Oryctolagus cuniculus: one gene and its partner. Each later gene encodes a partner of the first gene's protein in a complex. Links are inferred from orthologs where the notes say so. Each region holds a gene or a part of one and is shown in the gene's direction. Other genes may lie near its edges.

Region 1 (3,810 bases):
GCTGCACCGAGCAGCTCCCCCCTCTCACGGGAGGCAGCTAGGGTCCGTTTACCCCTGGTTTCTTGTGGGTCCTTGTGACCGTGTGTGGTTTTTGCTTGTTTTTACAGTGTAACAAAGTGCTTGTCCTTTTTGAACGTTTCCTTTCCCTTTCTGAATTCGAAGGCCAGAAAAATGCCTGTAAAGATGGGTGTAAAGGTTTTATTCTGATGTAAACATTTTTTTAAAAACATTTATGTATTTGTTTGAAAGGCAGAGTGACACGGAGAGACAGACAGAGAGAGAGAGCGTCCATCCACTGATTCACTCCTGGCCTGGGCTCGGCCAGGCTGAAGCCAGGAGCCTGGAGCTCCCTCCGGGTCCCCCGCGTGGGTGCAGGGGCTCAGTTCTTGGGCTTCCTCCACTGCTTTCCCAGGCGCAGTAGCAGGGAGCTGGATCAGAAGTGGTGCTCAGATAGGATGCCGGCGCCACAGTTGGTGGCTTTACCTGCTGTGCCACGTGCCGGCCCGTGGTGTAAGTGGGCGCCTGTGTGGTCCTTTGCACCCACAGGAAGGACCGCAGCCACGGCCCAGCAGAGGAGAGGCGACCTCTGTGTCCGGCCCTGCTGGATGTTTTTGTTCGCGCGGAGAGGGAGAGGGAGTGGGAGATGGGCAGTTTCTATCCCACGCCTGCAGCAGTTGGGCTGGGCCATGGCGGGAGCCAGGGGGTGACGGAGCCCCCCCTCCCCCCGGGGGGGGTGCAGGCACCCAGCTGCTGGAGCCGCCGCCTCCCGGGGTCTGCCGCAGCAGGAGGCTGGAGCCCGGCGCTGTCTTCAGTGCTGGGCCGGGCGCACGGCTGTCACAGGCGACGGCGCTGACCGTGCACTCGTCTCTGCTTCCAGGTCGGATGTTCATCTTCTACGGCAACAAGACCTCCACCCAGTTCCTCAGTTTTACTCCAACACTAATCTGCTCAGACAGCCTGCAGTCTGATATCCTTGGCTCCGCGCCCCCGCCCCCGCCCCCAGACAGGGCTGGGACAGAGGCTTCTGGGGGAAGTTGTAACTTCTTCTTCTGTTTTTAAATTAAAGTAGCCAGACATTTCCAGGTGCTAGAGAAACCTCAGGAGATCTCTTCCGTGTCAAAGCTAGCATTTGGTCAGATGCACCTAAGGACCCTGCTCCCTGCCGTCTGGCTGCCCAGAGACACGTGTGTCCTCTGCCGTCTGGCTGCCCTCAGGCATGCGTGTCCTCTGCCATCTGGCTGCCCAGAGACACGCGTGTCCTCTGCCGTCTGGCTGCCCAGAGACACGCGTGTCCTCTGCCGTCTGGTTGCCCAGAGACACGCGTGTCCTCTGCCGTCTGGCTGCCCAGAGACACGCGTGTCCTCTGCTGTCTGGCTGCCCAGAGACACGCGTGTCCTCTGCCGTCTGGCTGCCCAGAGACACGCGTGTGGGACCGGGGCACGTTCTTGCAGCTGCTGCTGCGTGGGTGATGGCAGCGGGGCCACGGGCCACTCGCTCCCCTCTGGCCGCTCTCACGAGTGTGTGTGCACACCACAGCCGCGGGCACGCAGTGAAGACGCCGGCACAGCCCAAGTGCCGTGTGGAAGGTGGGGGCAGCCGGGCCCCCGGCTCCTCTCTGCAGTCCTTAACGCTCACACAGCTGAACCTGCAGACCAAGCCCGTGGACCCGACGGTGGACGGGGGCGCCCAGGTGCAGCAGGTGGTCAACATCGAGTGTGTGTCTGACTTCACAGAGGCGCCGGTGCTCAACATCCAGTTCAGGTGAGGGCTGGCGGCCGCGCGGGCAGCTCGTGGGCCTGGCAGGGCCGTGCTCGTGCTGAGCAGGGGGCCTCCCTGGCCGGGGTCTCACAAGTCCCCACGGTCTGCAAGCTCAGGGTCTTTGGAAACACGAAGGGGTAGGTGTGGGTGTGAGCGCTGTGGGGTTCAAGTCCAGGAAGCGGAAGCACAGTGAGCCACGCAGGGGCGCGCGGGGGGGGGTCCCTGCTCTCAGCAAAGCTCTTTGTCTCCGCCTGGAGAGAAGCCACACGCACGCCTCAGAGGATTGGGGCCTGGGCGGGGCTGCCCTGGGCCCAGCACCTGGCCTGCACCAGCCAGCCTGAGTGAGGGGGTGGACGGGGGGTGCGGCTCCCTGCGGCCCCCCGCTCAGGGACGCTCCGCGGGGCTCCTGTTGGCTGCATGGCCGGCGGCAGCTCCTGGTTGCTGAGGGCGTGCGAGGTGTGTCTGCCGGCCGCTCCCTCTCACGTCTGCTGCTCACAGGTACGGGGGCACGTTTCAGAACCTGTCCGTTAAGCTGCCCGTCACCCTCAACAAGTTTTTCCAGCCCACAGAAATGGCTTCTCAGGATTTCTTTCAGCGCTGGAAGCAGCTGAGCAAGTGAGAGGGCGGGGCTGTCCATCGGGTGGGCGGGGCCTGGGCGTGTGGGGGCAGGCGGGCAGTCCAGTGGGGAGAGGGGCCTTGTCCCTGCCACCAGGACTAGCGCCTTGGCTCTGTCCCGCAGCCCACAGCAGGAGGTGCAGAACATCTTCAAAGCCAAGCATCCCATGGACACGGAGATCACTAAAGCAAAGGTAGGCGTCGTGGGGACAGTCACGGGCAGGCACCGCCTGGGGCCCGGCGCCCGGCGCCCAGGTCCCGACCGTGCTGTTTCTTTGGACAGATCATTGGGTTTGGTTCTGCACTCCTTGAAGAAGTCGATCCTAATCCTGCCAACTTCGTGGGAGCTGGGATCATCCACACCAAAACTACCCAGATCGGATGCTTGCTTCGCTTGGAGCCGAATCTGCAGGCCCAGGTGAGGCCTCTAGGGGGAGCTGCTCTGGCGCTGGTGAGGGCCGCGGGGGCTGCTCTGTCCCAGGTGCTCCACCCTGCTGGTCCACGCCCTTTCCAGCTCCCCACAGGGCACCTTGGGGCAGGCCCGGCCCTGGGCCGGTGGAGGGGCCCTGTGATTGCCCGTGTTGCTCCCAGGTGGGCAGTGCCCACAGATGTGGCTGCTGGCTCCTGGTTGGGGGCACAGTGAACTCTGAGCGAGGCCGCACAGGGCCACACCCCATGTGCCGCGGGCGGTTGTCCTGGTCGGACATGGCGCCTTCACCTCTGCCCGTGTCTGGGGCTCTGGCTTCTGGGGCGCAGTGGCAGCCCAGGGCTGGCCGAGTGAGGAGGGCCCCTGCGGGGAGCCGCGTGCTGCCCCCGCTGACCGGCTGCGTCCTGTTTCAGATGTACCGACTCACGCTGCGGACGAGCAGAGAGGCCGTCTCCCAGAGGCTGTGTGAGTTGCTGTCGGAGCAGTTCTAGCCGGCCCGGCAGAAGGCGGCCGTGTCTCGTGCATTTCTCGTCCCTGTGCTTTGTCCTTGCTCCCTGGCCTGCGGCCACTGGACACGGGCCTCCCAGCCCTGCGCCTGCAGCCCTGTCCCCGTGGCCACGCGTGGGACGCACTGTGTGTTGTAAGAAGGAAAGCTGAGTGTGGACTACAGGGGCCTGCCCCGTCCAAGGAGAGCCCGGATCCTGGGACCAGTTTTTATAGAAATCAAGGCAGTCTGTGGCTCAGTCTGTACATTAAAGGGAAATTAGAAGTTTGAATGAAAATGGAGATGTTGTCGAAGTTTGGTTCAGAATCACCGTTCTCCAGGCCCGTGTCTGCCCTGGGGCAGCAGTGTTGGCTCCATGGAGGCCAGGCCGACCCTTTGCTGTTGGCTGCCCTGGGGGTGATGCCTGTGGGGGGGGTGCTCCCTGTCCCTTGGGGGTGGGGCACTACTGTTGGCTGTCCTGGGGGCGATGCCTGTGGGGGGGCTCCCTGTCCCTTGGGGCGGGACA
Region 2 (3,810 bases), on another chromosome or scaffold:
TGATAGGGGGTCAGCTTGCTTCTGAGACAGTAAGAATCAATATGGCATCACTGTGGTTTGTTGTCACACACTGAGCTATTAGAATGGTTTGCTTAAAAAAGATTTCTTTATTTATTTGAAAGTCAAAGTTGGAGGGAGAGACACAAATAGAGAGATCTTCCATCTGCTACTTCACTTCCAAAATGACTCCAACAGCCAGGGCTGGGCCAGGCCAAAGCCAGGAGCTTCATCTGGGTCTCCCATGCAGGTAACAGAGGCCCAACTCTTGGGATATCTTCTGCTGCTTTTCCCAGGCCATTAGCTGGAAGCTGGATGAGAAGTGGAGCAGCCGTGACACAAACCAGCATCCATAAAAGATGCCAGCATCATAGGCAGTGGCTTTACCCATTAAACCACAACACCAGCCCCTACATTTTGCTTTTTAAATGTAATTTGTTGAATTCTACCTTCTCTGTTCCACTGTTGTTTTAGAAGTATAAATTCACCTGGATGATGGGATCAAAATAAAACTTTGAGCAAGCTTTATTTAATGTGTATGGCGTAGCTTAGATCTTGAGAATACTTTCTAGGGCTCTAACCCACTAATAAATAGTGCCAGAGTATGAGGGCACTAGCTTAGTTTTCTTTGGTCTTCACTACCCTCATTCCCAACAGGAATGTGAGTGGTTCAAAGCTTCAAGGACTCTCTCTGAACTTCTTTACTTATCAAAGTTCCATCACAAAATTTCTTCTTTGTTATTTTGTTATGTTTTCCCTCAATACCTTGGCTCATCTTTTTCTAATTATACTCTAAAGCATTGCCAATCTGCAGATATTTTAGTCAGAATTCTTAGAAATTTCAAAAGATGTGCTAAAGCAAACCCATGTATACTGGAATTTCAAGAGGAGGACGTACTGGGAGAAGGTACTAAAGTCTTTCCTTAGGGTGGGCATTTGGCCTGGTGGTTAAGACACCTTAGTCCCATATTGGAGTGCCTGGGTATTAATACCTAGCTCCACTTCCTGCTAATACAGACCATGGGAGGCAGCACTGATGGCTGAATAATTCGTTTTCTGCTACCCATATGGGAGACTTGGATTTTGTTCCCACTACCAGCTTCAGCTCAAGTCTAGATTATTGCAAGCACTTGGAGAGTGAACCAGCAGATGGAGCTCACTCTCTGTCTCTCTCTCTTTCAAATACATCAATTTAAAGACAAAATAAAACAAAAACTTCTAAGTCATGCTGCACTCCCAGAGGATTCTCCTTAAAGGAAACATTTATCCTCAACCGAATCCAGATTGATAACTGTTTTTACGTTTCATGTCTTTCTAGTAATAAATTCTGCTGTGTTTCTACTTTGTGTTGACAGATGCAAATGAAACTAATGGAAATGAAAGATCTGGAAAATCATAATAATCAATTAAATTGGTGCAGTAGCCCACACAGCGTTCTTGTAAATGGCACTACGGATTACTGCAGCCTCAGCACCAGCAGCAGTGAAACAGCCAACCTTAATGAACACGCCGAATGCCAGAGCAACCTGGAATCTGAGCCCATACACCAGGAGTCTCCAGTGAGTAATAAGTCCACATCCTTCATATTCAGCTTCAGAGAAAAGGATTAATACAGATCCAAGTGTTGTTGGCATTGTACCTAATATGAATATGTGTCCTTGCCTCATCTGAGTACAGTTAGTTTCTTTTTAGAGGCAGAGTGGATCCTGATAGAAAAATTCTAACATTTTTAAGTAATGTAAAAATAATTTTAACTGATTTATTTTGATTAGAGCACATTTTAAAACAGTATTTCTGTACATAAAGCTTTTTAAGTTTTTAAGTACCCTTACCCAAAACTGGAGCTAATTCTTTATTTCATAATGTTAGGATATAAATAATTATTTAGTGAACTCCAGCTGTGTACAAAATTGCTTTATTGTATGTGAGAGCCACAAAGATGAAATACCTTTTGTCTTTGTTTCAAGCAGCTAACAGTAACATAGTGTTACATAGTAATATAGTGTTAAGGGGTCATGATAAAGAAAGCACAATATATTTAGCTAGCACAGGTTGAAGAGGGCTGAAGAAAAATTTTGTGGGGAAAGCTTTGCAAATGAACTTAGGCAGGTTGAAAAGGAGTTAGGCAAAGAAGAGCATGGTACATTTCTGGCAAAGAAAATAGTAGTAGTGTAGATTCAGGGTGGGAGAAGACATGCTGCACAGAACCATGAAACGTTCTCACAGATACATTATGATGGTTGGGAGAGTATTGCTAAGAGCTGAGGCTTCCTCCTCCTGGCCATCTGCATCACATCTGGTGCCTTTATCAACATACGGAAGTATGTGCCCCACCTCATATTTGCTGCAGTACAGTTTCTAGGATCAAGCCAGGCACATACATAGATTTTTTAAAAACAAATTCCATGGATGATAATGATGTATGCTTGGATAAAAATGACAACCTTCAGGTAAGAAAGGGCCAGAGGATAAGAGATCAAGATTCATCTTGATGTGTTGGGGCCTTTTGTCTAACTACAGTGAGTAGCCTTTGAATAAGTTGAAGAATGAAGTGATGTGACTAAACTTACCTGCTGGAAATGTGAAGGATAGACTGGGGAATGGGGCTATACACACAGAGCTATGTTAGGAGACTATATAGGGATAGCTTATTTCAGAGCTGTTTTGGCATCAATTTAAGCAGTAATGCAAGAAACGAGACAAAGAGAAGTTTGAGAAGTATTAAGAGTAGAAAATTTAGGCTTGATTTTTATTTAGATAGTGCTGTCATAGATACATTTTGCAATATTCTTTCAAACACAAAAGGCAGGTTACTAGGTTATCCTTTAAACACATAATGTAGTATGAAAGGGAAATTGCCCTTGCCATTTTTTCAGCTTTTTACTTTCCAACCTAAGTGAAGAAAGCAATGGGAGCCATTGAAGAAGTTTAAACTAGAAAAATCATGGTAAGATTCAGACTGAAGGTTTTATTGCTTTGGTATCTATGAGGAGGACAATTGAAAGGACACACATTGGAGGCAGGAATACAGTTGAAAGGTTACTGTAATAAGCTGAACCAGAGTATTATAAATGAATGATGGTGACAGTGAGGATGGAGAGGAAGAGTAGAGTTTGAGAAAGAGTTAAGTAGACTGAACAAGACTTGGAGTCTTATTCTAGCTGGGAGATGACTATCAGAAAAGCAAAGTTCTTCCCTCTCTTCTCACACACAACACAGTAGACTTCTGGGACAGAAAAAGCTGTGCAGATTTCTCCCCACAAGCAAGCAAATAGCAGTTCTGCAGGAGGCATCAGCTGATGTTCCCTAGTTTGATTCAGTGGTAAGCCCATGTTGGAACCCTAGATGGCTGTAAATCAGGATTCCCACAGCTTCCTCCTTCGCTTTGATTAATTTGTGTGAGCAGCACACATAATTCAGGGAAAATGTTTACCAATCCTTCATAAAAGATACCACAAAGAATACAGATAAAGACATGTCATGTATAGGGCAAGAGTGTGTGGGAAGGGGCACACAGCTTCTATGCTGTCTCCAGACATCCACCCTCGAGGAACTTCCCAGTGTTCAGCTCTTTTGAAGTTCCCAGAACCGTGTCCATTTGGGTTTTTTATGGAAGCTTCATTACATGGAAATTACATCATTGGCTATTGGTGATCAGCTGGACCTTCAGCCCCTCTCTTAGAGGTTGGAGGTTGGGACTGAGTATCTAAAACCTCTAATCCTGCTTTGGTATTCCCAGTGACCAGCCCATCCTGCAGCTTCTTGGGACTGCCTTCTGTCAGTAAATCATTAGCATACAAAAAACCATTTATC

Evidence for each region.
Region 2: the proteins of AP2A2 (region 1) and EPS15 are in contact, whole or in part, in a crystal structure (PDB 1KYU), measured with the Mus musculus proteins. The link is inferred for Oryctolagus cuniculus from reciprocal best matches to the Homo sapiens genes AP2A2 and EPS15. Residues at the interface, in XP_006536218.1 of Mus musculus: Phe442, Phe443, Trp446, Lys447, Asp487, Pro488, Val494, Arg511; in NP_031969.1 of Mus musculus: Asp629, Pro630, Phe631, Lys632.

The regions. Positions count from the first base shown.
Region 1 is NC_091432.1:490,735-494,544, forward strand, and holds the end of AP2A2 (AP-2 complex subunit alpha-2), read left to right. Parts: intron 1-877; coding exon 878-967; intron 968-1,637; coding exon 1,638-1,761; intron 1,762-2,256; coding exon 2,257-2,373; intron 2,374-2,497; coding exon 2,498-2,567; intron 2,568-2,656; coding exon 2,657-2,791; intron 2,792-3,213; coding exon 3,214-3,291; 3' UTR 3,292-3,582; downstream 3,583-3,810. UniProt on the Homo sapiens protein: Component of the adaptor protein complex 2 (AP-2). Adaptor protein complexes function in protein transport via transport vesicles in different membrane traffic pathways.
Region 2 is NC_091438.1:121,548,457-121,552,266, forward strand, and holds part of EPS15 (epidermal growth factor receptor substrate 15), read left to right. Parts: intron 1-1,352; coding exon 1,353-1,556; intron 1,557-3,810. UniProt on the Homo sapiens protein: Involved in cell growth regulation. May be involved in the regulation of mitogenic signals and control of cell proliferation. Involved in the internalization of ligand-inducible receptors of the receptor tyrosine kinase (RTK) type, in particular EGFR.